Saccharomyces cerevisiae S288C: one gene and its partners. Changing the gene in region 2 together with the main gene of any one other region gives a genetic interaction. Each region holds a gene or a part of one and is shown on either strand. Other genes may lie near its edges. The genes, in order: APE3, MGL2, RTR1 and YPR078C.

Region 1 (8,462 bases), on a different chromosome or scaffold from region 2:
TAGGCGCTGGAGCTAAGGGCACTTGACCAATTTGGGGATGTAAGTTGTGTGGTGCTGGAGGAGGAGGAGGGGTAGAAGTCGCTGATTGATTAGCAATGGGTTGAGATTGTTGCGGAGGAGGGGGTGGAGATTGATGCGTTTGCGGTGGCGGTGAAGTTTGTTGTTGTTGTTGTTGTTGTTGTTGTAGACGACTCCTCAGTAACTGTTGGTGTCGTTGCTGAATCATCTGCAATTGTTGTGGTGTGAGGCTCTGATACAGCTGTTGCGGAATTTGCGCCATGTTAAAAGATGGAGTTCCAATGTTGCTAAATATATTTCCAATACTATTTGGAACGCTGTTGGTACCCTGCGGCTGATTATTCATTGTTGCTTTTGTGTAGTTCTTTACTATATGTTCCCTTGATGATGCTTTGTTTTGGTGTTTATGTTTGAAATTTCAGTTTCTTTTAAATGCGACGAAAAATGAAATTTTTGGTCAAAGAACAAGAAGAGATTTATTTAAAGTTGGCGATAACAGGACTTGGGCAACAACAGAGGCTGTAAACCTTACCAACCCAACCAAAATAGATGTATTTGTCATTCTATATCACTGATACAAAGAACAAACTTATTTTCCAGTATCTTTTAGGTGCAACAGCTCCCTCCTTCAAGCACCTGTGGACCCGCGTTCAGTCCACATGTCCTCAATTGCTCGAAGATAGCAGTAGTGATGATTATTTAGACCATTCAATGGTTGGAAGAGATTTAGAGGTCTATAAGTATTTCTCAGTTATAAATAAGCTCAATTATTGGTGCTTAGCCTCCACTTCGAAGTCAAAAGGCCCGCTTGATTGTTTTACCTTTTTAGAGACTATAGATCGTATCCTGTTAGAATATTTTGACAAGGATAAATTAAGTATCAAGAAAATTGTTAATAATTATGATAGAATCAGTTTGATTTTTAACTGTTGCGTCGAAGCGGGTGAACCAAATGTGAGTGATATGCTCTATGTTAATAAAATTAAAGAAGCTGTTCCTGAAAGATCGGATTTATCGAAGTTCATAAGTTCTACAGCCCATAATTTACAGCAGGCTGTGCAACTCCCACAACAAAGGCAACAGCAGCTACAACAAAATCAGATTTCTCGTGGTAGTAATTCACTAATCGAAAATGAAGAGATTGTTCCCTGGAGAACTTCAAGGGCTAGCAAACATGAGAATAATGAGCTTTATGTGGATTTGTTAGAAACATTCCATGTTGTATTTGAAAAGAAAAAATCACATCTAAGGTTGCTCACTGGAAGTATCCATGGAATAGTGGACGTGAGATCTTATTTGAATGATAATCCTCTAGTTGCAGTAAAATTAAACACTATGGGAAATGATATAGGTATACCCAGTTTGCATGACTGTGTTGAAATCAATGATGGTGTGTTTTCTCCCTCTAATATAACGTTTATACCACCAGATGGGAAGTTCAGATTGCTGGAGTATTCCGTCGATTTAAGTTCTCAAGTAAAGCAATCCGGAGTAAGGATGAATTCTATTGGCTTGATGTCTTTACACTTCCAAAATGGATTGGGTAAAGATTCTGATGAATTTGAGTTATCCTTAAATATTGAAAATTTCAAAAAAGTTTCACAAGTTGATGACCTAAAAATAGATTTACAGTTCAATGTTGAGAATGCTGATCCAAATGAAATAGCATATAAGATAAAAATATTGCGCAATACTCATGGCCGTTTTGAAAATAGCATTATCATGGGTCAAGGACAATGGATTTTTGATAAATCAACTGCCACTGGAACGGTACCTGTACTACGTGGCTGTATTGAGTATGAAAATACTGGGCCAAATTTTACAAAAAAAGTTGATTTACAAACAGTCTCCTTAGAATATTCTTACATAGGACAATCGGCCAGTGGAATCTATGTAGAAGCCATCGATATTGTATCTGGATTAACAATTGGCAAAAATACAAAGCTGTACAAGGGTGCAAAGTATAAGACCCAGACAGGCAATTTTCAAGTAAGGCTGTAGTTATATGTGTACTTGAAATTCCATGCGAAACTAAATAGAATATAATGAGAATATAAGTCTTGGAATAAAAAAGGAATATAAAACTATGCTAAAAAAAAAAAAAAATGAATAAGACTTTCATTCATGAAGACTCTATACAAAGGAATGAAAAGTTGTATTAAGTTGGGTTAGCCCACTGTAAAACGTAAATTGCACCTGAGACAACAATAATACTTACAGGCAAACTTAAGACAGCGTACCCCCAAAATAGAATATCGGCCATTTCTGCCTCGAAAAATTCATTCAGTTGAGTGATTTGAGTTAATTGAATGGCAGGAGGGGAAACAGTCAAAAGAAAACCGACAACAAGGAAAATTGGATCGTCCAAAATACTCACGTTTATGTACTTAACAGCAATAGCAATAATAGGCAAAAGGAAGCAAGAAGGTAAAATCATTCTTCCGATGATGGAGCCGATCAATAACTTGCTATGGTGAACCGTCTTAGGGAAGACTTCCGCAGAAGGATATAAGTTAGAACCGAGGACAACCAGGATCAGTGGGATAGAAACTGAACCCAGCTGCGTAACAGCCTCGGCAAATGTGTTATTGATAAACCCATCTTCCATAAATAGCTCTCTCTGCAACGGACCAATTGCTGCCACAACAACAGCAAAAATCATGGAATATAACGGAGGATTAAGGTTCGCTCTGATTCTCTCAAATACAGTGCATGATTTTTGCCAAATCTTATCACCGATGGAACTCGAACTCAAAAAAGATGAGTTCATTCTGTTATTTTCTTCTTCAAGCAATTCTTGTTCCTCTTGTTCCTCATTGACAAGTTCCTCGTTATCAATGTTGGGCGTCCTTTCCAACAAAGATTGCACTTGAGAAGGTGGCATATGCTGAGTGTTCTCTCCAGACCACTTCATTAGCTTATTGTAACCCCAGCTCCACCTCAGCATTTGTCCGATTTGTTGAAAGATCAGCAAGTATAAAATACCCCTTGATGCAACGTTATCTCTGTTATCATTAGGAATTTGGTCCCAAGTTAAGTTGGGCAGAGTGTAAGCCAAAGATAATGTCAAGGACACAGGTAGAGAGTTACTGTTACCAAAGACAGAGTTTGCCACCACAAAATTAGTTTCATCTTTATCCAAGTCTAGGATACGGCTCATTATCTTTCCGGAAATAAATGAAATACCAGTAGTCAAACCAAAAAAAATAGGAATGATGGCTATTTCAAAGATTTTGGCCATGGACAGGGATTTGGCCAACTTACTAAAAATAAGACATGGTGTAAAAAGGTCCACGTTCAACAGAGAAATGATTTTTTGACTTTGTTTGGGCAGCAGACCAGAACTAGCGCTCCAAAAACCAGCGAGTGCGATAATGACTACCTGTAAAACGGACTCAAAGACCAAATAAGCCAAATGAGCAAAACTAAATGTTTCAACCATATAGTAGAAATGCAGAGTAATCTATGAGGGTATGGTTAGTTGGGAATAACAAACCAAAAACGGGCTTCACACATATTGTTCAATTTACAATAATTTCCTGTTTAAACTTTTATATCACAATTTCAGTTTTTTTTTCTACCTTTTTTTCACTTTGATAAGGAGGCTGTGATCCCCTTGATGCACGTGCAGTTAAAAAAAAGAGGGTTTTTATTTTCTTTTAGATAATTATACAGAAATACTTGATGTGAACAGTACACTTAAATAATCAAGAAGTCGGCCCTGTACTTAAATTGTGGTTGTTGAGCATTCAATATGTCCACCTCTTTGTGCTTTTGGGTTTCTCTTTTTGGGAAACCCTCGAAAGAGTCAGCATAGGTGGCCACAGAGTGAGCAATCAACTTGGTGTTGGTAATGAATGCGTCCCAGGATAAGTTAGAGACATCATCACATAATTGATGGTAGCATCTGTCTAAGACCTTTCCGTTGTTGACGTTATTCTTTTCGGCACCAGTGGCAATACCACCGGCTGGAATTCCGTTGTTGATAAACCCGACATAATCGGATCTACCGTCAAATGGGACCAAAGTGTAGTTCAAGTGATGAGCCTTGTAGTAGTCTACGTACAGGTTTTTCAACTCTTCAGACCCCTTAGGGTTCTCCTTGTTGTTCGCATCATAAATTTCGTATTCATAGTTTGGAGAAGCCATCATGTCATAGTCCATAAATACTCTGATCTTGGAGTTTTCTTCTTTGGTCAAGTTATAAGCGTAGAAGTTAGAGCCTAGCAAACCTTCTTCTTCAGCAGCCCACCATGCAAAACGGACCTTGTTATTGATCTTGAAATGGGTCAATTGCTTAGCGACGTTCAATAGGGAAATAGTACCGGAACCATCGTCGTTGATACCTGGGCCCTCCTCAACAGAGTCTGAATGAGCACCAAGGGCAACAATATTATCAGGATCACCGTGTTTTGTGTCGGCAATGATGTTCTGGGTCTTGATAAATTCTACATAAGAGTCCATGGCAAAATATAATGAATAATCGATGTTCAATGCAATATTGGCAATCAATTTTTTACCAACTTTATATGGAACACCGACGGTGGCGACAGTGTGCTTGGTAGGTTCGCCTAATGTACCGTGTAGTCCTTCTTTAGATTTAGGTTCGTTGTCGTAAATGACCACAGCGGTGAAACCGAACTTACCGGCCAAATTACTCTTATCGCCAAAAGGACACTTACCTCTTTCGATAAGGGCAATTTGCTTTTCGTTGTGTCTTGGTGGGACTACAGAGGCGTAATCCTTCTCTTCACATCCCAAGTTAGGAATTTCGACTAGCTTACCTACGAACCCGTCCACAGGTGGAGAAAGTGCGAAAGCTGTAGTGTTAGCAAAGCTTTTACCGGTTTCGGCGTCAGAGAGGTTGAAAGAGATGATCTTACCGGATAAAGCTTCGAACTCTTGCAAAGAAACATCATAGTAGTCCTGCATGTCATCGAAAACATTCAATATGTATTCCATAGTCTTGTTATGACCCTTGGACCCGATCACACGGGTAGGGTGACCGTAGTCAGGAGTAGAATAGTTAGCTAAACGGTAGAGGTCCCAAGCAGTAGCATTCAAATCGTCAACTTTGATTTTATCTTGCAATTTTTCACTTTCTACATGTGGTTTCATGAAGTAAGGAATATGTGGCTTCGGAATGTTGGCAGCAACGGCAGAGCTATCATCGTCGTTTAATTGCGGAAGATAATTCTCAATTGGCTCTTCTTGTTGAAAGGCTTCCTGGAAGAATTGAGGAATGACATAGGCAGAGCCTAAATTGGTAGCGTAAAACGCAGCGACAGCCAATTGCTTCAAAGAAAAGTGCATGGTTGGCGTTTCTGTTTTTTTTTTTTTTTTGGCTTCTTCTACCAATTGTTGAAAGGCTGAACATGGTTTTGTTCCCATCCATTGTTCCTCGCTTTTATATTGAAAAAAGAAAAATTTTCCTAAGGACCCCTTCTTCCTGAGGGTTAATTTAAGGGAATTCAAAGTGTGTCAATAGTAATTAATAGAACTAATCAATATATTCAGTATAACTTTTATTATTAATAGTATATGATATTACTTTTTGAACTATATATTTATGGAAGCACAAAAACATAGAGAACACTCTTTCTGACGATAAGAAAGGTGATTATATCAAGATATATAATGAAGCAGCTCAATTGTCTTATTTCTTGTATCTCAAGTAGCTCCTTCTAGTGCTACACTTTAGTATTCTGCTTTGTTTATCATCGAACCTATCAAATTCCACGGAATCCTCTGGTGAATATGTGTTCTGGTGCCGTGTTGAGTTATCGTTATCCAATTTGTGTTCATTGGCGACAAGGCCCTTTTTCAGCTCATTCAAATCTATGCAATGATTATTAACGCCTTTCTTATCAATGGCAACCTTACCCAAATTGTTTCTGTTTCTAGTCAGGATTGTAGCCATTTCTCTATCTGAAATGTCCGCCTCCATGCTATCGTCAGTGGGGCTTTCTAAGGATTTTATGTTTATGAAACCATTGTTTTCATTGCAATAGATTATTTCAATGGGGGAAGGCTCTTGCTTTTTAAAGGAGAATAGACTATCAAAATATGAGAACCTAGAAAATATGGTCATTGTCAACTATAAGCGAGCTTAGAGATTTCGAATTGTTATGTTATAAATGGAGTGATAAGACTCTTGTTTGAGGCTTGGGCTTTTTGATTTATATTAAATTAAGATATGTAAAAAAAAAAATAAATTAAAAAACGTGTGTTCTATTTACAGTATCTACTTACTTATTTGTTTATATATTCCATTAGTTTACTTATCTTTATCCTTAACCTTTTTTTTTTGTGTGTGTGGGGAAGGGCGGTACATAATATTAGCGTCACAATATGCGCCCCTCGAAGAAACATGAGCGAATTCACGCAATTATGAGTCGCCACTCCCCTGCGAGAGTGCTACTGCGATATTGACGTCTGATGATCGGAACGTTATGCTCTAAACTTGTATTTGGTTTACAATCATACCACTTGTCTACAAACCCAGTGTTTTCCACGAAGTAGTCATGGCTGGCTAAGGAAACGCCGAGCCATTTGTTCTTTAGGGTACTTGAAAATCCACTGGTTATGACACTGTTTCTTAGAAGTTCGCATAAATCTGCTGAATGTAAACGGTATATACTAGCCGCTACACTATACTCTTCTATAATGGGTTCTTTCGTATACGAATTGTTGTAGAGGATAGATTCTGAGCTCAGCGATATCTTGAACCCCATTTCAAAAAACTTCATGAAAGGGTTCTTCTTATAAGGCTTTGAGGGCTCTAGGACAAGCCCCGTCGGGGCTTGTTCTTGCAGCATTGTAGGCTTTGAATCTACTATGGAATTCAAAGGCGCCACAACCATGGGAATTTGACTTAGATAGAAAAGATACACCAGTGATGGTGGTGCATTCCAGAGATTTTCTGCATTTAGAAACCCTCCACAGGCGAGCAAGAAATTGTTTAAAATAGCTTCCGTATGTTCTGTGAAGTTCAGTGTATTACTAAACTGTGAAGTTCGATTCATTGAGGTGGGAGAACATGAACTTCTCAAAGTGAAGGTATTTTGATGAAGGGCTTGGCGGATATGGTTCAATTTTGTTAGGTTGACGTAGACGTAATACATATATTGTGAAATGGTTGGATTATCACCGCCAGATGTCCAATCTTTTGGCAAGCAACTAACTGCTGTGAAGTTTTTCCAAATATAGTTGTCCGTATCTTGAATACATAGATCAATCGAAGATACTTGAGAAAGAAATTTCAAAAGAATAGGTCCTAATGACTTGTGTAGATAATTTTCGGCATTGAAAAGTGGTTTGAAGATTAGATTTAAATACTCCTGAAAATTCTTCACCTTGCCAGTATGATACAGTTCTGGATAAATTCTAGAAATGCGAATATTCCAGCGAATATTGTTAGAAAATATATTATAGTGGTTCAGCCAATTGGCAAAGACCATCCACCAATTGTCCACATCGGAATTATCGTAATGCAGATAAAATTGGAAGTCCACGGAGAGTTGACATAACTGATATTTCGACTCCTCTTGCGGTTTTATTAAAAACGTTTTCAGTAGTTCCGCTAAGTATTCACCATTAATATAGTTATCAAACTCCAAAAATGTTTTCGCAATCAAATAGTATCGAAGCTGCTTACCGTGTGAGCCTGTGTGTATTTCCATTTCATCGTTAACCAAATGATATTTTGCGAGATAAATAACTTTATACCACTCCAAAAATGAATCGTCAATAATTTTCAACCCATTGAAGAACTGACCGGTCTCCTCGAAATTCACTTTGAATAATTGGCTCAAGGTTATATGACTACCATTAAAAGCTTGATGGATAACCCTGTCCGGTTCTTTTCTCAACTTGGTCCAAATAAACTCAGTCAATTGCCACTGTGAGAAACAGCCGCTTAACAGAAGATTCAGATCAATCTTTCTACAGTTGTAAAAATCCTTGTGTGGCACCTTTTTGCTCTGTCTCATTTCTTCCTTGGAATGTAGGTGTTGAAAAACTGGAAACTTATTTACAAGATATTGTAATCTTTTTTCGCTAAACCTTGATAGGCTTCTATCTCTTATAATTTTCAAGCACCATTCAAAATCTTCCCTAAATTCTTTAAAAGTGGGGATATTAATCTGACTGTTGAACAATTCCGTCATATAATTACCATCCTGGAGGAGGTTTACAGTATTACTTTCCTCTAGATCAAGAAAGTGACGTATTCCAAATAATTTTTCTTTTACAGGTTTAAGATAACCCCCAGCCACTCTTGAATGAAGCTGCGGACATGACAAAGCATCTTGTTTACTTATAGTTAGATAATTTCGCCTTAACTTAGACATTTCCAACAGGCATTTGCGGTCTATGCGGAAATGTGTTTGCTCAAAGAAATAGCTAGGAAGGTGAGCCAAGGATGAATATGCTAGATCTTTTGT
Region 2 (8,050 bases):
TGAAATTGATGTCGTCATTACTTGTTTCAGATGTCAGTATAGTGGGGTTGAGTGTTCTTGATATAATGAGAAAGCTTTTAAATTTCCAGTTGAAAAATGCAACTAATAAAGAAGTTGTGGCACAGTCTTGTATCACCATGACAGACCTTAACCATAAAACTTATTACGCTGAACAGACCTCAGATATGTTATATGAACTACTATTGAAATTGAAAAGTGACACCGTCAAGGATGTTGAAAAGAATGCAGTTGTGGAAGATATTGATTTCCTCGTTGAACATATTACGCAGCCAAGTATCAGTTTGGAATTATTCATCGACTTGGCGCATTACATGAAAAACCACATTATATGTTTATTTAACATTGTTGAAACTGAGGTTCCAAGCAGCATTCTCTTTTCAAAACTGTACTCATTATTACGTGAACTGGATTCACATGGTGTGCAAAAAGAAATGATGGAAGAGATCTTTGACAAGTATGGAAAAATGGCACTATTATCCGGTTTGAATTATTTTCTAGAGAACGTTTCTGAGCCTGAGTATACCTATTATTCGTACCATTTACAAGCAGCTAACTTTTTAAAACTCAATGACTACAAGTCACAAACTGAGTACAAAATGCAAACTAGAACTTTGTTTACCAAGGAAGATTTATTGTCATACTATTCTGATACTGGATCAAATAAATACAGCAAGAAGGGGGCGCAGATTTTATTGTCTCGTGATAATCAAATTTCTACTTCTGATTTACTGTCGGACTCTCAAGTTCGTACTACACCTCTGGAGTACAAGAATGTCCCTAATGCTATTTTTTCAAATGGGAAAGCAGTGTATGATAACAACGATTTTGCGGCCAAGCAAAATAAATTCGACAACAGCATAGATGACAATATAGAAGAAGCTAACGATACTGTAATTTCTGATGCTAATGCAAAAGGTAGTATCTATAGGTTTGTTGCTGAGGACGCAAGATCATGGAAAACAATGAGAGCCACCGCACCAAAAGTTAGCGATTTGAAAAAAACTATGAATGAAAAGAATATTCCAAATAATATGAAAAGAGATGGCTCTTTTCGGGGTTCTCAATCAGTGAAATCTCGTGTCACTAATATCACATTTTTATTAAATGAATTGAAAACTTTTTCAGATGACGCGAATAAAATCAAAGATCCTGATGAGGAGAATATTGTTGGCTTGGATAAAATCGACGTTGCTAGATCAAATTCTCTGCGACTTGCACCAATATCTAGTCTTTCTGATCGCAGTAGCATTGGAAATAGAAAATCCTTTTTGCAAAAAACAGCAACTGGTGAAAATCAAAACGATGACTTTAAAGACGCAAATGAAGATTTACATTCTTTAAGTTCAAGAGGTAAAATTTTCTCCTCCACTTGAGAAATTAAGTTTTTGACGGACAGCTGTGGATGCTTTCAAGGGCAAGAGTGATATAGCATGACTTTCTAATTAATGTAATTTACGTAGATATAGATCAAATGGCGAAGTAAAAACTTCGAAAAAGATGGAAGAAGTCCTGTTTGCCTCAACTGGAGAAAGGAAATACGTAGCTGCAAACTGCTTATCACATATCGTCATCACCAGAATCTTCGTCTTCATACCACCCAGATTCGTACGCTGAGGCGTAATCGGAAAGTTCATTTTTCAATTCTTCTCTGTCACTATCATTTTTGAAGTACCTTACCACAAACTCATTCCAATGTTTGAATATATCTCGATTTTTTTCAGATGATTCTAATTCCAAAACAAATTCACGATCATTGGAAAATTCTGTCGGTATCGTATCAGATGGAAAATACCTGTGTGTATACATTTCAATCATCTTACTCCGTGAATCAGGTTCGGAATGATGTTTATGCGTTTGATTTCCTCTATCAATGAAACTTTTTGAAAATATGTGAGTAGAATTTGGTTTGTGGCTATTCTTGAAAGGAAGTACTCGAGAACAGAATGAGTAATCGGTGTCACCGATAACCATGCCAGTGACCATATTTCGCGACGAATATCCTAAGGTAATGGCAGTTGTTAGATAATCCATTGTCTTTCTTTGTTCAAGATTGCTTTGGGAAATTGTCGCATTTATAGAATCAAATATCCTACAGCTCTTTCCAGCAGTTTCCCAATTAGTTAGTCCAGGAGCAGCATACAATGGGAAGTAAAGATCGGATTCTTGCATCATATTTATTGTGCTTCTTAATTTGTTCGAAATGATCGGGAGCCATTTCTTTGAAAGTCTTTTCATAGGGAAGTCATCTGTGAATGGATCATCTTCATTGTGTCCCCATGAAAAGACCGCCTTTTTAGGTAATTCATTCCTTAATTCCACCAGTAGAGCACTAGAAAACCCGCCCCATCCACTCTCCATATCACTTACAAGATTGAAGCCTTGCAGGGTGTCACATTTTTCCAATTCTCTATGCAAATTTCCATCAAAAAACTCTTGCAAGTAATTTTCGGTAAATTCGTCATAACCAATGGAATACCTGTCAAACTTTCGCTCCCCCAAGTTTTGAAAGTCAGGTTGGTTTGGATTTTCAGTGTCATGGTACCAATTTCTCAAAATATTGAAACTTGAAGGACCATAGATAAGTTTAGAATAGTCAGACCAATACATCGTATTTTCTCTGTTCAAACAAGGCAGCGGTGCTCCTGCATCTAGAGAACTCTGATATTCGGATTTAGGTATTCTTGGATGAGTCTTTATAACTGTTTGCTCCTTGAATTTGTCTTCATTGCCGAAATGATAGTCTTGGCTTTCTGAATATTGATATGTTCCTAGTGAACCATTACCTGTACGGGCATCCCAAAGTAAGGCACGTGGTGCATATGAAATTGTTTTTGAAACTTTATCTACAACCGAATTCAGAAAAATTTTGGAGTCATTGACTTGTTGTTCTTTAGACAATTGTAAATAGCCCTCTTGTATATTGAAGAATTGAGTAGTCAAATGGTTTGCTCTCTGCGAAACCGATATCGTTACTACTTCATGCATTTTTTATTCTTGTCTGCCAATTATATATGTAATTTTAACAATTAACCCTCTTCTTCCAAGGTTTTAATTCATCGCATCGATTATATTTTGTTCCATTCGAAATTTTCCATTTTAAGTTTGGCGAAGCTTTTCACGTTTTCATTCAGAAATAATGATGTCGAACATCAAAAAAAAAAATTATCAGGTTACACATCTAAAAAGTTGACTTATTTACAAACTAATTCGCGCGAAAGGTTGTGGCTATGGGTTCGCAATTAGGATCTGGGAGTTGAACATTTTCCAAGTCAGGTTTTAAGCCCTTTACAGTAATTTCGTCGTGAAATATTTTCAAAAATCTGCATAAGGGTTCTGCGTACCACCTTCTGCCGGATCTGTCTTTGAACCATCCAACATGCCCCCCCGTCGAAGTTTCTAGAAGCAAAGTGTATGGATTGGATTTTATTTGGTCTATAGGAAGATCACCTCCGACAATTGGGTCATCCTGAGCATGCAAAGCTATAAAAGGAGTTCTGATCCCGGGTATTCTTTTATATGATGAAGCATTCTTGTAATACTCCTCTGCATTTTTATATCCAAACATTGGGCCTGTCAACAAGTTATCAAATTGCCTCACAGTGCGAATCTTTTTTAAATGCTTCTCGATAACATCTTTGAAATCAGGGTTTTCTTCCAGAGTAGAGAGATGGTTTCGAACCATGCGTAGTAAGTTGTGACCCAAAGCAGGTGAATAAAATCGTGACCCCATTGGTGTACTGTTAATAAAATATGCAGAGTTGTACAGGTCAAATGGATTACTCACGGAAATAGCACATTCGATTTTAGTACGATCTGACTCTTCTCCCAAGTAATTTGTCATTATAGATGCGCCTAACGAAAATCCCATCATATAAAACTTTCTATTCGGAAATCTTTTCCTCAAGTCATTAACACAATATCTTATATCATTGGTCCAACCACCGTTGTATAATAGCGGCGTTGTAATTGCAGAATAACAACATCCTCTAGCATTAAACACGCATGCTTCAAAGTCATACTTCGTGGTGATTTCATGAACAATTGCCCTCACGTAGCTTTCCCTCGAACCCCCTGTTAATCCATGGAGAATAATAAGCATAGGCTTAGCATCGTCTGAGTTCAATTTAGGATCATCAGGGGAATAGTACGAATATCTTCGTTTCAAGTTTCCGTTAAATACCGGTTGACTTGTCGGCACGTATTCTTTTTCCACTTTTCTTCTTTTGGTACTTCTACCATTTACAGCAAAATCCACAGTCCCTTCTCCCCCATGTGGGTATTTGATTATCATTCTTTTATATTGAACTTTGTATATATTGTCAAAGTGTCTAAAGGAACCATATGCAGTTTGTAAATGGCCATTGACCAGTAAACCATATAAAGTGTCAGTAGCACCGTCAGCTAATTCAGGAACTTTAGTATCTATTAGCTCAGGGATGGTGATCTCTTTATTTTCATTCTCTCGTTTATCGGTGGACTTGAATGCAATAGGATCCTCAGGGACCTCTTGATGAACAATCAAAAAATTAGGTAACAATTCTTTTAGACGCATATCGTCTCTGGAAGTTTACCAGCGTTTGTATAATACAGTTTTAAAATAACAAAGTAGTTGGTTTTTATCGAACTTCAAATAATTGAGACCCTTTTAAGATCCACAATACTTTTCGGGGTTAGGTAAGAAGACCCGTAAAAAAAAAAAAACGTAAACGATGCTGTACAATTAACAAATTTTTCAGGAAATAGAAGAGGTAAAAATATTGATATACGAAGTTGAGGAGCGCCAATGGTTAGCTCACTGGCATCAAATATAATTCTAGCCCTTGTGGTAGTCCTGATGACACTGCTAAGGCAAAATAAGCCGTTGCAGAGGTGGTTTGTATCATATGTTGAAAAGCTATTATCAAGAAAATCAAATCTGGCCCAAAAAGTCAGCGTTTTATCGCCCTCCTTAAAATTGGTTGATGTTGAGAAATCAATATCTGCCGATCAATCGAATCTTTCTAAAATTAATTATCAGATTCCCACTCTTCCTGATCTTACGGGGAATTTAATCCGTTTACATGAGTATCGAGCAAGAGGAGAAGGCTATAATGGCCTTTTATTTCGGAGAGCAAGACAATTAAATGGAATTTCAGAAGATCAGTTGCAAAAATTAGGCTACTTCACCAAATTAATGAAAAATAATGAGGGTATCCGAGAAAACGCAAGAGTTATTGACAAGATAATTGAGTTCACTTTAGGGAAATTGATTCATTCCAACGAACACGATGAAGAATTTACAGAGGAAATTGAAAAGATATGCGCGGAACACGGCTATAAGATTAAAGATGGTCACCTTATTCAATTGAATCCTGACTTCGTATTTCCAATAGTTTCGTCTCGAGGCAGCCAAAGTGTGGTCCATGAAGCATTAGCACATTTGTGTCGTGATTTCAGCTCTTACTATAGTGTGGAAAGAGATCCTTTACAAAATTTTATCATTAGTAGAATCAACCATCATGTGATTAGTGCCGGGGACATGAAAGAGAAAATTCTTATCGTGACCCCAGGGGCTGGTGTGGGTGGCCTATCCCATACTCTTGCCACCACTTTCCCCAAAATACAGGTGGACTCCATCGAATTATCAGCCTTGATGTACATATGTAACCTATTTGCACTCGAATATAAGCATGACGTTAAGATACGTCCTTTTGTACAACAATATTCATGCCAGACAGTGTTTGATAATCAGTTGAGAAGTTTATCGGCAGATTTGAGCAAAGTTGGCCACCGCAGTAATCTGGACCCACTATGGGGGGACTTCACACGATATTCTCCCATTTCCAAAGACTATGATAAAATTATCATTTGTAGCGCATATTTCATAGATACCGCGGAAAATATGTTTGAATATCTATCCAGTATTGAAGCACTAAAGAAATACTGTAAAGAGCTGCATTGGGTCAATGTAGGTCCATTAAAGTATGGCACCAAACCCTTGGTCCAATTTACAGGAGATGAATTAAGTCGGCTGCGTAAAATTCGCGGGTGGAAGGACCTTGTGGAGGAATATGAAGTTGATAGCTCAAAGGGATTGAATGGCTATTTAACTGATTATGAGTCAATGTATCAAGGATACTATGGTCTGCTTAAATTTCATTCTGTCTTCGAAAGCTGAATTGATACTACGAAAAATTTTTTTTTGTTTCTCTTTCTATCTTTATTACATAAAACTTCATACACAGTTAAGATTAAAAACAACTAATAAATAATGCCTATCGCAAATTAGCTTATGAAGTCCATGGTAAATTCGTGTTTCCTGGCAATAATAGATCGTCAATTTGTTGCTTTGTGGTAGTTTTATTTTCAAATAATTGGAATACTAGGGATTTGATTTTAAGATCTTTATTCAAATTTTTTGCGCTTAACAAACAGCAGCCAGTCCCACCCAAGTCTGTTTCAAATGTCTCGTAACTAAAATCATCTTGCAATTTCTTTTTGAAGCTGTCAATTTGCTCTTGAGTAATGTCTCTTCGTAACAAAGTCAAAGAGCAACCGCCGCCACCAGCACCGGTAAGTTTTGTGGAGCCAATTCTCAAATCATCGCTCAGATTTTTAATAAGTTCTAATCCAGGATGAGAAACACCGATTGAGACAAGCAGTCCATGATTTATTCTTATCAATTCCAATAGTTGTTCATACAGTTCATTATTAGTTTCTACAGCCTCGTCATCGGTGCCTTTACATTTACTTAACTTAGTCATGATCTCTAAGCCTTGTAGGGCACATTCACCCATGGCATCTAGAATTGGCTTCATAACTTCAGGAAATTTCTCGGTGACCAACACACGAACGCGAGCAACAAGATCTTTTGTAGACCTTGGAATTCTAGTATAGGTTAGGATCATTGGAATGGCTGGGAAATCATCTAAGAACTTAAAATTGTTTGTGTTTATTGTTCCATTATGTGAGTCTTTTTCAAATAGCAGGGCATTACCATAAGTGGCCACAGCGTTATCTATTCCTGAAGGGGTACCGTGAATACACTTTTCACCTATGAAGGCCCATTGATTCACTATATGCTTATCGTTTTCTGACAGCTTTTCCAAGTCATTAGATCCTATTAACCCCCCCAAGTAGGCCATAGCTAAGGCCAGTGATACAGAAATAGAGGCGCTTGAGCCCAACCCAGCACCGATGGGTAAAGTAGACTTTAAAGAAAACTTAATATTCTTGGCATGGGGGCATAGGCAAACAAACATATACAGGAAACAAAACGCTGCATGGTAGTGGAAGGATTCGGATAGTTGAGCTAACAACGGATCCAAAAGACTAACGAGTTCCTGAGACAAGCCATCGGTGGCTTGTTGAGCCTTGGCCAATTTTTGGGAGTTTACTTGATCCTCGGTGATGGCATTGAAATCATTGATGGACCACTTATGATTAAAGCTAATGTCCGGGAAGTCCAATTCAATAGTATCTGGTGCAGATGACTCGCTTATTAGCAGGTAGGTTCTCAACGCAGACACACTAGCAGCGACGGCAGGCTTGTTGTACACAGCAGAGTGTTCACCAAAAATAATAACCTTTCCCGGTGCAGAAGTTAAGAACGGTAATGACATATTGACAGTTTTCTATACGTAGATATAAATTTGCAAGTTAGGACTAAGAAGCGCACCAGCTAACCAGGAAGTAATATCATGGCTAACTAACCTTTATAGGCATATCGTTGTATCGTTCTTCGATACCCTGTCGAAGATTTCAGTGCGACAGCCAAACGAGGCCCGAAAATTGTCAGTACAATTACAACCGATAAAATACACGTTGAGACAAAACTAGCACAAAACGCCTCTTTAAACATAAATGTGTACGCATTCTGAAAGTGAGATAGAGTACAAGGCTATCGCTAGCTTTCCACGGGAGAAGTAGTAGGAACCTCTCTTTTTATTGCTTATGACAGTAATAATAGCATCATTCATCAATGTTTCCGTTAGGGTAACTAAAATGGGTGGGCGGCAGATGACAAGAAAAGATGAATAATGAAGAATGA
Region 3 (7,745 bases), on a different chromosome or scaffold from region 2:
TGGGAGCAAGTAAAGGAACATTTAATTTATGCATACCACCCGAACCGGTACTCTCGATATTGGAAATTTGGGGGGTGCTAGATCTCTTCTTTGATGGAAGAATATTAGATTCAGATATGTTGGGGTCAACTTCTCTGGGTGCGCGAATATTGGTTTTAGAAACACGTTTCGAATCTTCAGTATGAGTTGACGGAGGTGTGGAATCGGTTGGACTCACAGCTTTTGAAAGGACATTTCTCGGTTGCTCAGGATGTAGTTCGATGTCAGATTGGAAGTCATGGTCAGATTCTATGTTAAGATCATCGGATTGTTGGATCTCATTTGACGCAATGAACGATTGATATGAAGCAGTTAAACGGTTTAAGTCTTCATCGAAAGTGAGTGCGTCGTAATTGAATTGATCTAATCTGGATTCCTTGCCCTGAAGAATAACATAGTTAGTTGTATCTACTGTCTTCTTTAAGGATGGAAGATAGATGATATATCCATAAGAGTTTCGAGACGGATGTAGAGCGTAGCCTGGGATGCCACGAGGATGTATTTTGGAGTTAGGGTTGTGATCATTGACGATAACAGGTTGACCGAAAGGTAACAAAGTACTGATATCAAGTCCTGCCAAGCCAGCATGTTGTCTTGCAGATTTTTTGCTTTTAGGTGAAGCTAGTGAATTTCTCACAATAGTAGAAAATTCGATTGCAGAGAACCATAAATGGTTCGGTAAACCACTACATTGCAGTTGAGTACGGCAGTCATCTAATAAGGTACGGTTGAGCCGTTCAGCGACTCCATGTGCTCGGGAATCCGCTGTGGTTGTATAGCATGGAGTTATACCATTTTTTTCAAGGAATTTATGGAGAGTTCTGTTAGTATACTCAGAACCACGGTCCATTTGTATAACCAAGACACTGGCCTGAAACTGGTTCTTAATAAAAGCTAGTATCGTAGTAAAAACATCGAGGATAGAGTCCTCGCGACGGTCGTGTAATGGATAAACCCAACGGAATTTTGTTGTCTCATCAGTAAATGAGATGAAATAGGATGGTGCACTTTTTGGTAGGTTGTGAACTGGACCAAATATGTCAGTATGTAGGTATTGAAAGGGTTCGTATGAATTTTGGTATTTTAGTCGTGAACCTTTGATATGTCTGTGTTTGGTGCTTTTGCCGATTAAACAATCAGGACATTGATAGTCAATAGCACTAGACCAGTCGACATCTGATTCGTTAAAATACGTGATGGTGTTATTTTTAAGTGAGTATCGAATTGTCTGTGCATTGGCATGTGCAAGCATTCGATGAATGAAAGGATAAGGATATTTGCGTGTACTTTCACTTGTATGGACATTATTGATGGTGGGTACGGAGATATTTGATGGAAGCAAGTACTTTTTAGATACCCAGTAAAAGTCTCCATATTTTACGATAGGTGCAAGTACAGTGCCGTCAGATCGTTCTAAGACGTTTTTGGTAAAGCATGCTGTGATATCTACTGCAGCCAATTCATTCAAACTGAGTAAGTCATAGGCTATGTTAGGAGTGTGCAATACCTTTATTGATGTTTTGGTGTTGTCCTGGAAGTGAAATTGTAGGTCACCAATAGCGTTAATTGGTATATTTCTTTTTTGAGCATCAACTACGTTTATGTCAGGATTAGATGATGCTGAGTGTATGTGATGAGCAGATCTTATAAGGGTTCGTGATGCTCCTGAATCGAGAAGGAGGTGTCCAGGGAGTTCATCATCAGAATGATTAGTGTGATTTACCGTAGATTCAGTAAGTTCCTGGCCTAAGGTGAAGGTCGTGCTTATTGTTCAATTGAATCGGTTCAGTAGTTGATTTACTGATGGAATCGTTGTCCGTGCTGGGAGAGTTATTAGATGTGGATACATTGTGAGCCCTGGCTGTTTTCGATTTCGAATTATTTGTTTTTTGAGGATTCCGAGCTATAACTTTGGGTTTGGTTGTATTCGTATAGCTGCGAGAATCATTCTTCTCATCACTCAGATTTCTCCTGTAATTAGGTTTGCTGTTTCTCGATCCCTGTTGTTCTTCATAAATAGCATGGATATCTAAGAACAGTTCAGCGACTGTCATATTTAGATGTCGATGACGTGTGTAGCGTAAAAATTTATATTCGCCAGATAGACCTCTCATAATTAATTGGCATGCGACCTTGTTATTGATATGAATGCCATTATTGTTCAGTCTGTCGATAATGTTTGTGACTTTTGTTTCAAATGCATCTGCAGGTGTACTGCCATTATATTGCAAATTTGCCAGGGTCACAATGTCGTTTGCCTCTTGGGTATCAGATTGCATTTTTTCAATACTTTTGGAAAGAATTTTCATGATATCCGTATAATCAACGGATAGGATGTCTTTGACCCAGGTAGGTAGGAATTGAGAGGGAGCAAATATTTGAAAAGTGTTATACAAGAAGGTGAGTTCATCATCAGTGATCTGACGTACGGGTTTTCCGTTTACTGTCGGAATAATACCACCGAGATTCGAGTTTTGTAAAAATTTGATGTATGTTTTAACCCAATTTGGAAAGTCATTAGGTGAGGTTAACATTGGTGGTGGTCTGACATATTTTTTAGTGGATGTCATATCAGAGTCCGCTGAGGATGAATCAGTAAATGTATTACCTGACTCAGGTGATGGAGTGCTCAGAGGCGTTCCAACTGATGATGGATACTGCGGAAACTGTGATTGTGGCCCAGGTGGAAAGTACATAGGCGACATTTGATAAGGTGTATACGGAATCATAGATGGGTGTCCGTAAAATGACCAACCAGATGGATTGGCTTGGTTTTGGGTCATCATGCACTGCTGTGGGTACGGCCCATTCTGTGGAGGTGGTACTGAAGCAGGTTGAGGAGAGGCATGATGGGGGTTCTCTGGAACAGCTGATGAAGCAGGTGTTGTTGTCTGTTGAGAGTTAGCCTTAGTGGAAGCCTTCTCACATTCTTCTGTTTTGGAAGCTGAAACGTCTAACGGATCTTGATTTGTGTGGACTTCCTTAGAAGTAACCGAAGCACAGGCGCTACCATGAGAAATGGGTGAATGTTGAGATAATTGTTGGGATTCCATTGTTGATAAAGGCTATAATATTAGGTATACAGAATATACTAGAAGTTCTCCTCGAGGATATAGGAATCCTCAAAATGGAATCTATATTTCTACATACTAATATTACGATTATTCCTCATTCCGTTTTATATGTTTATATTCATTGATCCTATTACATTATCAATCCTTGCGTTTCAGCTTCCACTAATTTAGATGACTATTTCTCATCATTTGCGTCATCTTCTAACACCGTATATGATAATATACTAGTAATGTAAATACTAGTTAGTAGATGATAGTTGATTTCTATTCCAACACATCTACTAACTAGTATTTACGTTACTAGTATATTATCATATACGGTGTTAGAAGATGACGCAAATGATGAGAAATAGTCATCTAAATTAGTGGAAGCTGAAACGCAAGGATTGATAATGTAATAGGATCAATGAATATTAACATATAAAACGATGATAATAATATTTATAGAATTGTGTAGAATTGCAGATTCCCTTTTATGGATTCCTAAATCCTCGAGGAGAACTTCTAGTATATCTACATACCTAATATTATAACCTTAATCACAATGGAATCCCAACAATTACATCAAAATCCACATTCTCTACAAATGAAGAAACTGCTTATAGTCAATTGAACGATTTACCGGTATTTTAACGCCATTATATATATTAGTAAAAAGATGGCGTATATTGATGGACTAACAGGGTCAAATAAAATCATGAATTGACTAGTATATACTTATAAGTATATCGTTCTACACAAACTAGGAAGATGACATACATGATGAGAATTGGTTATCAAATTCCATGGATGCCGAAACGTAAAAGATTTACTAAATAGTAGGATAATTATTGATAACATACAAAACAAAAAAAAAAGAGACAATATTATTATCTAGAAGTGTCGACTTCCTTCTGTGGGTTTCCTATGTTCTCGAAGAGAGCTTCAAGTGTATTCTATAAACTAAGAATATTAGTTTAACGAAAGATCGAAGTCAGACACCTATCTAACTTTCATTAAATTATCACACAAAAATCCCACATACTCTCGTCTTGCTAAACAAATAATAAATTGAAGGTGAACGATTCTTCTTGCAGCGTCCTAGCTGTTGGGTCGTCTTAGATAAATATCTACTGTTCTGAATTGCCAAATTTTCCTTCTATTGTATCCATTCGATGCTGGACGGCCAGTTCTACCGTTATTGCCCAAAAGGAAGGAACGTCGCGATACTTCAACACATTAAATACTTGTTGATTTTCGAACCAAAACTCTGAAGCAACACTTTCGTATATGGATGGCCCTTCAGAGAAACCAATAGGTATGTAAAGAATTGCTACGTGGTGACTCAAAGTGAATTATAGCAAAGTTATAAAAGCGCTACATTGTAGAAAATTGAGAACCACATTTTGACATACACGAATAACAGTATTTTTGTCCTGGCGCTGTAAAGTATTTTAAGTTATGATGATGAATTAACTATTTTCAGCCAATGAAACGTCCATAATCTGTTCTGAATTTAGGTGCATTGATATAGCCGGTCAATCTTCCCTTGTGAAATCACCCAAAATGCTGGGATTATCATTCTCAACAATTTTGATTTGTGCCAACCACTTCGATAAATCATCTTCCAGCTCAGTATCATCTTTTTCTGTAGTCCCACTGTCAGGATTTAATCCTAACTTTTTGAGACCGGATATCAATGATTTAATGTCTTCTTCGGATGCCTTTTCTCTTAGCAACTCTTCAAACAAAGTCACTTTGAAATCTATATCGTGTTTGTCCTGTTCAGGATCTTCAAATAGGTGAACCCCTGTTCTTGCAAATAAAGCTTCATCAGATAGTTGCACTTGATAAAATTGGGAACATCTAAAATGGAACTTACTGCAATAGTGCGACAAATATGCATACGGATTGTTTTCTAATAAAAATTTCTTAGTAGTATCATTCATTGAAAATGGATCACGTATTCTTTCTGGCGATTTACCGCAAAGAGGATATCCGCATCTTTTGTTTAGATTCCTCTCATCTACTAGGTCTTGATACATATCCGGTGTGAGAAATCGGCCCAAATATTTCAATGTTTTCTCATCCTTGCATTCTGAATCACATAATAAGCCTATAATCTCTAAAGTTATAACTTCTGCTTCATGCATGGAAAGTTGCCTGTGCTTTTGGAAAGGGATTAACGCCGTTTCCTTAATATCTTCAATCGTCGCCATTTCTTATTCTTGTTAACTTCGTCCTAATTTTTCAAACTAAGATGCCGATGTATAGATATTTTAGACTGGGAATGTTTATGAATTGTTCAATTCGCTCCTCAATGTGTCTCTTTCTTCACTTTTCCATTGCTTTTGACCACTTCTGGATGCCAGCTGATTTTGTATTGTAGTATTCCTATTTCGGACAAAAATATCGGAAAGAGATGAAATAAGAAAATTAGTTACTTTTAATATCACGATGCTGTCTCTGAATCGACCTGATCGATCTATAAGGTGTATATATTATTCTACCGAGTAATCCAAAAAAAAAGCAGCACTCCCATGCAACACAAGGATACGGCAGTAGCGAAGGACACAGCTAAAAAACGTTTACTGAGAAGAAATAGTGCGCCGTCAGCTATACATATAATTTCACGATTAGACAAAAAGTGGTCCTTCCTATGGAATACTATAGATAGACACAATATTGTTGAAGAGCAAGATGAAAGTAGCGCTGCAAAAAGCGAAGAAGAACATGAGGATGATTATGAATTGGAACAATTACTCAACATGATAAGAATACCAATGTTCCTGGAAAAGTTCATGCTCTTTGCACTTTTAACAAGCTTGGACTGTTTTTTGTATTACTTTACTGTATTACCGATACGACTGATAAAGGGATATGTAAAGCAATTCAAGAGTTATCGTCAGCATTATCGCCTGCAACAACGGTCTGGGCATAAGAATAAAATACCCTTTCGATATAGAATAACTTCAAGAGAATATAAAGAGAGATGTATGATTTTTATCATCGTGATTTCATCCATTTTGTTGAGCAAACTAGACACCTCAAAACTATATCACAGGATAAAACGGCAAAGTACGATGAAATTGTACATGCTATTCAGTGTACTGGAAATGGCGGACAAAATGTTGGCAAGTTTGGGCCAGAGCTTATTAACGGTTATGCTTTCTAGGAAAAACTCGGAACGGATATTACTGCATAAATGTTTGTTAGTGTCAATGAGCTTGACATATGTGACTATACACGGCTATGTATTGGTTTACCAGGCCATTTCATTAAACATAGCCGTGAATTCGTATTCCAATGCCTTGCTAACTTTATTACTATCCATGCAATTTGCAGAAATCAAATCATCGGTTTTAAAGAAATTTGATAAGGAGGGATTTTTCCAAATAACCATTGCAGACGTAGTGGAAAGATTTAAGTTGACCTTATTATTGTCAATAACTGGCCTTAGGAACCTCCAGTCGTGGTCATCTTCATTATCGAACACAAGCATCAATTTCTGGAGTCCACGTTCCACATTATCAATCGTCATTAACATACTTTGTGGGCCGATGGTAAGCGTGGTAGGGAGTGAAGTGTTAGTGGATTGGGCAAAGCATGCTTACATCACAAAATTCAATCGGATCCGCCCACAGATATATGATAAGTTCTATTATATAATATACAAGGATTATTCTACGAGAACGCACAAATTAGAAGATAGATTGGGATTGCCTTTACCTGCATTCGTTGTCCTTTTTATTGTAATGGTGAGGCCAACACTTTTTAAATCATCGGAACCTTCTTACCTTCCTTCGCTATTTAGGATCCTCTTCATGGGGGCATCCGTGTTTTTACTAGCATTGTTGGCAAAATTTACACTAGATCTTATTTTAATCAAATGGAGCAAACGGATAGAGCAACGGTTCAGAGACCAAGCTTTCAATACCGTTGTAACTGAAGAAGAATACGTCCCAGGTTTACTCTCGGGCGGTATGGGTAAAGTCGACGTGTCTACAAGAATTGCATTACATTCTGATTACAATAAAGAGAATCGTATAGAGACCGAAAGTGTATCGCCAATGCGGAAAAGAAAAACTACTTTAACTGCTGAATGTACTCCTCCTAGCCTAAATGATATTAGAAGACAGAAAGATTCCAAGAATCCACGATCGCTTGAAAATGTCGCTCGCTATAAAATGGTTTCTAAAAGAATATGGTAATCTAAGATCCGCATTTATCGCGGCTTACGGCTTTCGGATATTTCGTATATTGCAAGGAGCAAAAAAGAAACCCTGCTTACTAAAAAGCTATTGTTTTGCAGTTTATAAGTTCTTGCCTTTTGAATTATTGATCTTTCCTTTATCGTTTATTTAGTTTCCTATTGTAACTTGGAACTGTATTATATAATAGTGCACAGCACTGAAGTTGTAACTACTGTACGTCATGCTTTTCAGAAACATAGAAGTGGGCAGGCAGGCAGCTAAGCTATTAACGAGAACCTCGAGTCGTTTGGCCTGGCAAAGTATTGGGGCCTCAAGGAATATTTCTACCATCAGACAACAAATCAGAAAGACTCAACTATATAATTTTAAGAAAACTGTGAGCATCCGTCCATTTTCTCTCTCCTCCCCTGTTTTTAAACCACATGTTGCTTCAGAATCA
Region 4 (7,732 bases), on a different chromosome or scaffold from region 2:
TTGGCAATACCGGCTAGATCTTCGTTACCATTTTCTACGTACAAAACTTCCCAACCGTAGGCTTCGTATCTCTTAGCAACATCTTCATCGAATGAGATACTGGTAGCACCATCGATAGTGATCTTGTTGTCATCGTAGATGGCAATCAAGTTACCCAATTTCAAATGACCAGCCAAGGAGGAAGCTTCTGAAGAAATACCTTCTTGCAAACAACCGTCACCCAAGAAAACATAGGTGTAGTTGTCAGACAAGGTAAAGCCCGGCTTGTTGTAAGTGGCAGCCAGGTTAGCTTGAGCCATGGCCATACCAACAGCGTTGGAGATACCTTGACCTAATGGACCGGTAGTAACTTCAACACCTGGCAACTCAAATTCAGGATGACCTGGTGTTCTGGAACCCAACTGTCTGAACTGTTTCAAGTCTTCAATAGACAGATCGTAACCAGTCAAATGTAGCATAGAATACAACAAAGCGACCGCGTGACCGTTAGACAAGACAAATCTATCTCTGTTGATCCAGTCTGGGTTGGTTGGGTTCATGCGCATTTGACTCCATAGAACGTGTGCAGCTGGTGCCATACCCAATGGAGCACCTGGGTGACCTGAGTTGGCCTTGGATACGGTGTCCACAGCCAAAATTCTTATGGTGGAGACGGCTAGCTTATCAATGTCAGTGAATTGAGTCATTTTGTTTGCTAAAGAGGTAACTATGTAGAGTTGCTTGGGATGAGCTTCCTTCTCTGTTGTACTTCAGTTTGATCTGAAACTTAAAAAACGAAATTTAAAAGGAAGACAACGGTGAGAACAAGAAATGAATGAATCAAGAAGTCACGATCAAGTATGTAGGTAAAAGATCAGGGGGGAGTATGTACGTAACCAAAAAGATTGGGAAAGAGTTTATATATGAATCATGCCTACGATCGTACCTTCTTGGCTTTCCCAAGAAAATTTTTCATCTCTCGAACTTCTCGAGAGATTGCGAACGGAACGGCAAACGCCGCCGGCATTTCTCGGAAAGAAGACTAGAAAATAAATGACGGTGGGAAAAAAAGCAAGAAGCTACGGTTACCCGCAGCGGCACTATAGTAGATGGGCTTTTAAGCCCGTTTTCAGGGTCAGGTAATATGTAATGTAGTAGCACTTAAACTTGCTAACCATAAATGACCAAAATGCAAGTTTGCTGTATTTTAGTCCCGTTGGCGTTTTCGGATGCTTCATTCCCCAGAGAAGTGATGTGTATGCGAAAAATGTCTCAATGCAGCTTTGGCTGCTGCGGAACTTATCCGCTTTGTAAGCACATCTTGTTTTAATGTGTATGAATTTTTATATTTGGTTCGAAAATTATGACATTCGGCCAAGAAACTTTCAGAGGAGCTGTGTATTAGCAGATGGTAAGCGCACGTTGAAAATGCTGAATATTATTAATTTAGACATACCTTGATGGCTGAACAGTAGTCAGAAAATTAAAAAAAAAAAAAAAGCGCTTATTACGGCGTATACACGTAACTATATAGACGTAGATCATTGAATATTGATATGATATAATATTTTCCCCGGGATTGCAGAATACTGACACGCCTTTTATTTATCGTTCATCGTGTATTTCGAACTTGTCCTCAAACGGGCTCTCAGTGCGACTGCCCTGGGTGCTCTCGCGTATCGATTCTGGAATTTCCAAGTCCAGTATAAAACTTCCTTCTTCATCGTCATCTTCGTCGTTATTACCATGGCTTGCCTCGCTTTTTGCCATGTGTGAAAGATCATCCGCCTCTGTCTGTTCTTCAATGACATCCAAGTCCTGAATCTCCTTATCACTCTCTTCCTCTGCGATTTGAACCAGTTTAGGTTTAGCACGAATAGCAGTTATGAGGTTATCGTCTGCGTCCTTATTGAGTACCTGGTTATGCTCGTCATCTTCGTCATCCAGACCATCCAAGATGGAAGAACCTAAGGTTATATGTGACCTGATATCACCAGCTGCATTTTGTCTCTTAGAGCTCGAGCGTAGTTTTGATTGCAGTTTGTCGGTACTCAAACCGCTTGTCACACCAGGAATGTAGGCAATAGGCAAAATATTAGAAGCCCTTGTACGAGTGGTAGATGCTGAACTTCTGTTTCCCGGCACGTTGAGAGTTGGAGGTACCAGTGACGTATTGAACAGGGTGTGACTTTCATCTTTTCTCATACCGCCATCATCCTCATCGTCTTCATCATCATCGTCTTCATCGTCGAAGTATTCCTCTTCATTCCCGTAACTTTGCGATGCCTCTTCCAATTTCAAAGCTTTATTTTTTTGCCTTTTGGGCTTCCAATATCTCTTGTTGATGAAATACAACGCCACCAAGGCAATAAGCATCGCACCACCTACAATACCCACGGTGAACCCCACAATCAACGAGGTTTTCTCATTTGAATTACTGGAACTAGAACTAGAGGAGGAGGAAGATAAACTACTCAGTTGTGAATCGGACTGTTTCGCACAGTATGTGGATGGGCACTTGTCACATGTTAATGAAGTCATAACACAATATTCTCCTGAAGCGCAAACAGGGCATGATGCAGTTGAATCGCAAACAACACATCCGTCGCTGCCTCTAGTTGCAGAAGTTGAAGAGGTGGCTGTGCTTGACAAGGATGAACTTGCAGAAGCCTTGGAGGAGCTCGACATTTTTTGTTTGATTTTCAGAAAACGAACGTAACCAGTTTGATAAATGTGGTGCCTCTCTTATTCGGCCTGGGAAGCAGTGCAACAATAGCGCACATTATAATCATTTGATTTTAAATTCACCCCAGGACAATGGGGCATTATTTTCTGTTGAGAGGGTAACGCGTTGTTTATTGAGAACTTAACGCGTTTCGATTTCAAGAATGCACTATAGTGCGGAAATGTAAACAGAATTTATTGATACTTGGCATTATTTGAATTTTATTTATATCTTGCCCGAACATGTCTTGACACAAGCAAGGAACGTTTGCTCATTAACCTTTTACACGGTTATGCTTGTACCAAAGGCTGATCACCTGGTTCGGGCACAAAACAGAGTTTAGTTTCCAACTGTGTTTCCTTTCCCGGATCAGATGATGGTAAGGGAACGGTAACGGCGTCTTCATCTTTACAAGGTTGGCCCTTCTTAAGATTTTGATGCTTTGTAGTCCATTTTTTGAATCTTCCTTGCAAAAGATAAATTTCCCTTCCCAAATTATTTCTAAGTGTGTCCCACACTCGTGGCACGTTTTCTTGATTTTTGTCGCCAAAATTAGCACTCTTATGGAAAATACGGAACATACCACCGCTGTTATTTTTAGAACTACTCTTTTCAGAGCCGAGCATATCAAGAGAAGTCCTGACATATCGGTATTTCAAAAGAGTCTTTTTATTCTCTTGCAAAGGAGGCCCGCTAATAATGCTTTCCGTATCATCAGTTACTAGCTCCTTTTTGATATTTTTCCCAAATGTGGGACTTATGGAGGTCTTCTCAGGTTCAGAAGCGGAGTGAATTTGGCAGGTTTCATCAATTTTAACTAATGTATCGTCATTTTCAAAATCGTCAGGTGTTAAGGGTGATATAATATTCAATCCATTCATAAAATCATCAATATCACTAAAATATGGTGTCTTGCCCCGTTCCATCAAGTCCTCTCCATATCCATATACTTTATCATCGTTTACCTCTTCCAGATTATTATCAGATGGTAGGGCTAATTTACTCTTATTTTTTCTAAACCACTTATTCAACCTCTGTCTCCAATCACGATCATAGCGGCCATGCAATTGAGAAAGACTCTTCAGCTGCGTATTTGAACTGCTTTCACTGTCAGAAAAATTCTTATTGGTTTTAAACCAGCCAGAACAAGATCGGAAAAAAGTATCACTTTCAGTAACTTCTTTAATCACTTTTTCCAGCCTGGCAATTTCTTGGTCAGTTTTATCGTGAATATGATCAACTCTGACACCTAATTGTGCAGTCTCATTGATTAACCTTCGTAAATCTTCGCTTTCAGTCAAATGCGTTGTTATTTCAGCTTCTTCGTCAAACTGGAAGGTTCGTTCATCATCAGACCTAAGCTCTGAGGGGCTTAATACTGTTGGTAAGACTCCAGAAATCGTTTGCATGATTGATATTTTATCTTTTTATATGATTTTGTTTTTTAGTTATACTTACGCTTGCTACCCTTACTTATGAAGTCAGTCTCTTTTGTTAGCTTTTATTACAACACTTATGAGAAATTTATAAAAAAATCCCAGGAATGCTTTCACAAATTATCCATTCTACATAAAATCTTTTTTTATAGTATTACTTTTTTGTGACATCAAAATGAAGCACTAAATAATTATAGAAAATATTCAGCAAAAAAAAAGAAAAACCTTCTTCTGAAAAAAAAAAAAAAAAATTCAAAAAAAGACACCTTTCTACCTTGGCAGTAAATTTCAAATTAATTATTTACCAAACTGTAGTTCCCGCTCACTAATCCTTTCTTATACTTATTCACATTACTGTCACTTTGCGGCTGTATTTGGCCGCGTTTCCCTTTCGGGTGCAGGTACAAGAGGTATCCGAAACAAGAAGGGTTAAGTTTTGAAGAAAATGCCAAGTATTTCAATTTCAATAATAAGAACGCAAAACTACAGGAGACTCTTACTAAGCATACTACTTCTCAAAAAAGGGCTTTATTTTATAGAACATAAAACATACTGTAGGATCGCACACTGGAAAATATGTTGAAACGATCATCTCTAATATATCTATCATGTGTCCTAATCATTACCATACCAATACTTTTGCATGTATACAATGGTCCAGGACTGTCCCATGAAGCCAATGAACATAGGGCTTCTCACAAGCAAAAAAGAACGTTAGCAAATCCGGATAAACCCAAAAGCGAAAACGATGAAGATCTATTTTGTGCGGTAACCAACCCAGTCACCGGATCATACATAGATCTATCACAGCTATCTTCAACTCCCAACAAATTAAGGGAGGGCCAAAAACAGATTTCTGGCAATAACAAGCATGAATCCTCCAAGACGAAGTGGTCAGTGAGAGGTTGGGGCTACGATACAAACTTCACGTTAGGCATCTGCTCTAGTCCTGTCGGAGAAGCTGAGTCGCAACAACTGTCCAATCTAACGGGCGCTTTTTACGTAGACCAGTTGAACGAAAATAATTTAGTATCGATTGGAGACTTCAGTACAAGGCCTGCGTTAGTCGGCGGCTCTACTGCCAAGAAATTAACTCTCAAATACGAAAACGGCTCTATGTGCCCGAACGGGAAGGACAAGAAGGCAACTTTATTGAATTTTGTCTGCGATAAAGAAATTCAATCAAAGGCCCAGATATCATACATTGGAAACCTACACAATTGCTCGTATTTCTTCGAAGTCCGCAGCATTCATGCGTGCCCCACCTCAAACAAAAAGAATGAAGTTAACGTTTTGGGTATCTTCATCGGTATCTTCGCTATATTCTTTTTAGTCGAATTTGCGGGGAGAAGATGGATCTATGCTAAACTAAATAGGCATTTGAAAAACGACGACGAGTTACACGACATATCGCCATCTTTAAATGAGCAACCACACTGGGACCTCATAGAGGACGGGTCTCGCTGGAGTAAATTTTTCAACGGGATAATTAAGACGACAAGAAGGTTCACGAAATCTTTAATGAGGTCTTTAGTCAGAGGCAGGAACAGCCGTCAAGGGGGCATAAGACTACGGTCATCCCCATCTGCCTCTTCGTCCAGCCTTGCCAACAGGGAGTTCTTCAGAGACATGGAGGCTCAAAACGAAATTATTGACAGCCTAGACATCAATAGTCATACAACAGAAAGCGACCACCCAACTTTGGCTGATAATAGCGTATAAACAATGCATACTTTGTACGTTCAAAATACAATGCAGTAGATATATTTATGCATATTACATATAATACATATCACATAGGAAGCAACAGGCGCGTTGGACTTTTAATTTTCGAGGACCGCGAATCCTTACATCACACCCAATCCCCCACAAGTGATCCCCCACACACCATAGCTTCAAAATGTTTCTACTCCTTTTTTACTCTTCCAGATTTTCTCGGACTCCGCGCATCGCCGTACCACTTCAAAACACCCAAGCACAGCATACTAAATTTCCCCTCTTTCTTCCTCTAGGGTGTCGTTAATTACCCGTACTAAAGGTTTGGAAAAGAAAAAAGAGACCGCCTCGTTTCTTTTTCTTCGTCGAAAAAGGCAATAAAAATTTTTATCACGTTTCTTTTTCTTGAAAATTTTTTTTTTTGATTTTTTTCTCTTTCGATGACCTCCCATTGATATTTAAGTTAATAAACGGTCTTCAATTTCTCAAGTTTCAGTTTCATTTTTCTTGTTCTATTACAACTTTTTTTACTTCTTGCTCATTAGAAAGAAAGCATAGCAATCTAATCTAAGTTTTAATTACAAAATGGGTAAAGAGAAGTCTCACATTAACGTTGTCGTTATCGGTCATGTCGATTCTGGTAAGTCTACCACTACCGGTCATTTGATTTACAAGTGTGGTGGTATTGACAAGAGAACCATCGAAAAGTTCGAAAAGGAAGCCGCTGAATTAGGTAAGGGTTCTTTCAAGTACGCTTGGGTTTTGGACAAGTTAAAGGCTGAAAGAGAAAGAGGTATCACTATCGATATTGCTTTGTGGAAGTTCGAAACTCCAAAGTACCAAGTTACCGTTATTGATGCTCCAGGTCACAGAGATTTCATCAAGAACATGATTACTGGTACTTCTCAAGCTGACTGTGCTATCTTGATTATTGCTGGTGGTGTCGGTGAATTCGAAGCCGGTATCTCTAAGGATGGTCAAACCAGAGAACACGCTTTGTTGGCTTTCACCTTGGGTGTTAGACAATTGATTGTTGCTGTCAACAAGATGGACTCCGTCAAATGGGACGAATCCAGATTCCAAGAAATTGTCAAGGAAACCTCCAACTTTATCAAGAAGGTTGGTTACAACCCAAAGACTGTTCCATTCGTCCCAATCTCTGGTTGGAACGGTGACAACATGATTGAAGCTACCACCAACGCTCCATGGTACAAGGGTTGGGAAAAGGAAACCAAGGCCGGTGTCGTCAAGGGTAAGACTTTGTTGGAAGCCATTGACGCCATTGAACAACCATCTAGACCAACTGACAAGCCATTGAGATTGCCATTGCAAGATGTTTACAAGATTGGTGGTATTGGTACTGTGCCAGTCGGTAGAGTTGAAACCGGTGTCATCAAGCCAGGTATGGTTGTTACTTTTGCCCCAGCTGGTGTTACCACTGAAGTCAAGTCCGTTGAAATGCATCACGAACAATTGGAACAAGGTGTTCCAGGTGACAACGTTGGTTTCAACGTCAAGAACGTTTCCGTTAAGGAAATCAGAAGAGGTAACGTCTGTGGTGACGCTAAGAACGATCCACCAAAGGGTTGCGCTTCTTTCAACGCTACCGTCATTGTTTTGAACCATCCAGGTCAAATCTCTGCTGGTTACTCTCCAGTTTTGGATTGTCACACTGCTCACATTGCTTGTAGATTCGACGAATTGTTGGAAAAGAACGACAGAAGATCTGGTAAGAAGTTGGAAGACCATCCAAAGTTCTTGAAGTCCGGTGACGCTGCTTTGGTCAAGTTCGTTCCATCTAAGCCAATGTGTGTTGAAGCTTTCAGTGAATACCCACCATTAGGTAGATTCGCTGTCAGAGACATGAGACAAACTG

What was found.
Region 1: mutations in MGL2 (region 2) and APE3 together harm fitness more than expected from each alone (negative genetic interaction), as found in Saccharomyces cerevisiae (2 studies listed by BioGRID).
Region 3: mutations in MGL2 (region 2) and RTR1 together harm fitness more than expected from each alone (negative genetic interaction), as found in Saccharomyces cerevisiae (2 studies listed by BioGRID).
Region 4: mutations in MGL2 (region 2) and YPR078C together harm fitness more than expected from each alone (negative genetic interaction), as found in Saccharomyces cerevisiae (2 studies listed by BioGRID).

What each region holds. Positions count from the first base shown.
Region 1 is NC_001134.8:771,569-780,030, reverse strand, and holds APE3 (aminopeptidase Y), read right to left. Parts: upstream 5,332-8,462; coding exon 3,718-5,331; downstream 1-3,717. Other genes in the region: SNF5 (Snf5p), read right to left, coding at 1-364; APM3 (Apm3p), read left to right, coding at 568-2,019; YBR287W (uncharacterized protein), read right to left, coding at 2,177-3,460; HAB1 (Hab1p), read right to left, coding at 5,675-6,109; YBR284W (metallo-dependent hydrolase superfamily protein), read right to left, coding at 6,399-8,462.
Region 2 is NC_001145.3:684,039-692,088, reverse strand, and holds MGL2 (putative carboxylic ester hydrolase), read right to left. Parts: upstream 4,574-8,050; coding exon 3,224-4,573; downstream 1-3,223. Other genes in the region: EFR3 (Efr3p), read left to right, coding at 1-1,394; DML1 (Dml1p), read right to left, coding at 1,579-3,006; YMR209C (uncharacterized protein), read left to right, coding at 4,805-6,178; ERG12 (mevalonate kinase), read right to left, coding at 6,291-7,622. UniProt on the Saccharomyces cerevisiae protein: Converts monoacylglycerides (MAG) to free fatty acids and glycerol. Has a preference for palmitoyl-MAG. Does not play a significant role in ethyl ester biosynthesis. Also possesses ester hydrolase and low but persistent TAG lipase activity.
Region 3 is NC_001137.3:445,933-453,677, forward strand, and holds RTR1 (RNA polymerase II subunit B1 CTD phosphatase RTR1), read right to left. Parts: upstream 5,312-7,745; coding exon 4,631-5,311; downstream 1-4,630. Other genes in the region: YER137C-A (gag protein), read right to left, coding at 1,770-3,092; YER138W-A (uncharacterized protein), read left to right, coding at 3,542-3,646; EMP65 (Emp65p), read left to right, coding at 5,633-7,303; COX15 (Cox15p), read left to right, coding at 7,527-7,745. UniProt on the Saccharomyces cerevisiae protein: RNA polymerase II subunit B1 C-terminal domain (CTD) phosphatase that dephosphorylates 'Ser-5' of the CTD and regulates RNA polymerase II during the transition from 'Ser-5' to 'Ser-2' phosphorylation.
Region 4 is NC_001148.4:694,153-701,884, forward strand, and holds YPR078C (uncharacterized protein), read right to left. Parts: upstream 4,114-7,732; coding exon 2,995-4,113; downstream 1-2,994. Other genes in the region: transketolase TKL1, read right to left, coding at 1-686; OPY2 (Opy2p), read right to left, coding at 1,585-2,667; MRL1 (Mrl1p), read left to right, coding at 4,717-5,862; TEF1 (translation elongation factor EF-1 alpha), read left to right, coding at 6,442-7,732. UniProt on the Saccharomyces cerevisiae protein: Induces the SOS system when expressed in E.coli, therefore, it may play a role in DNA metabolism and/or in genome stability.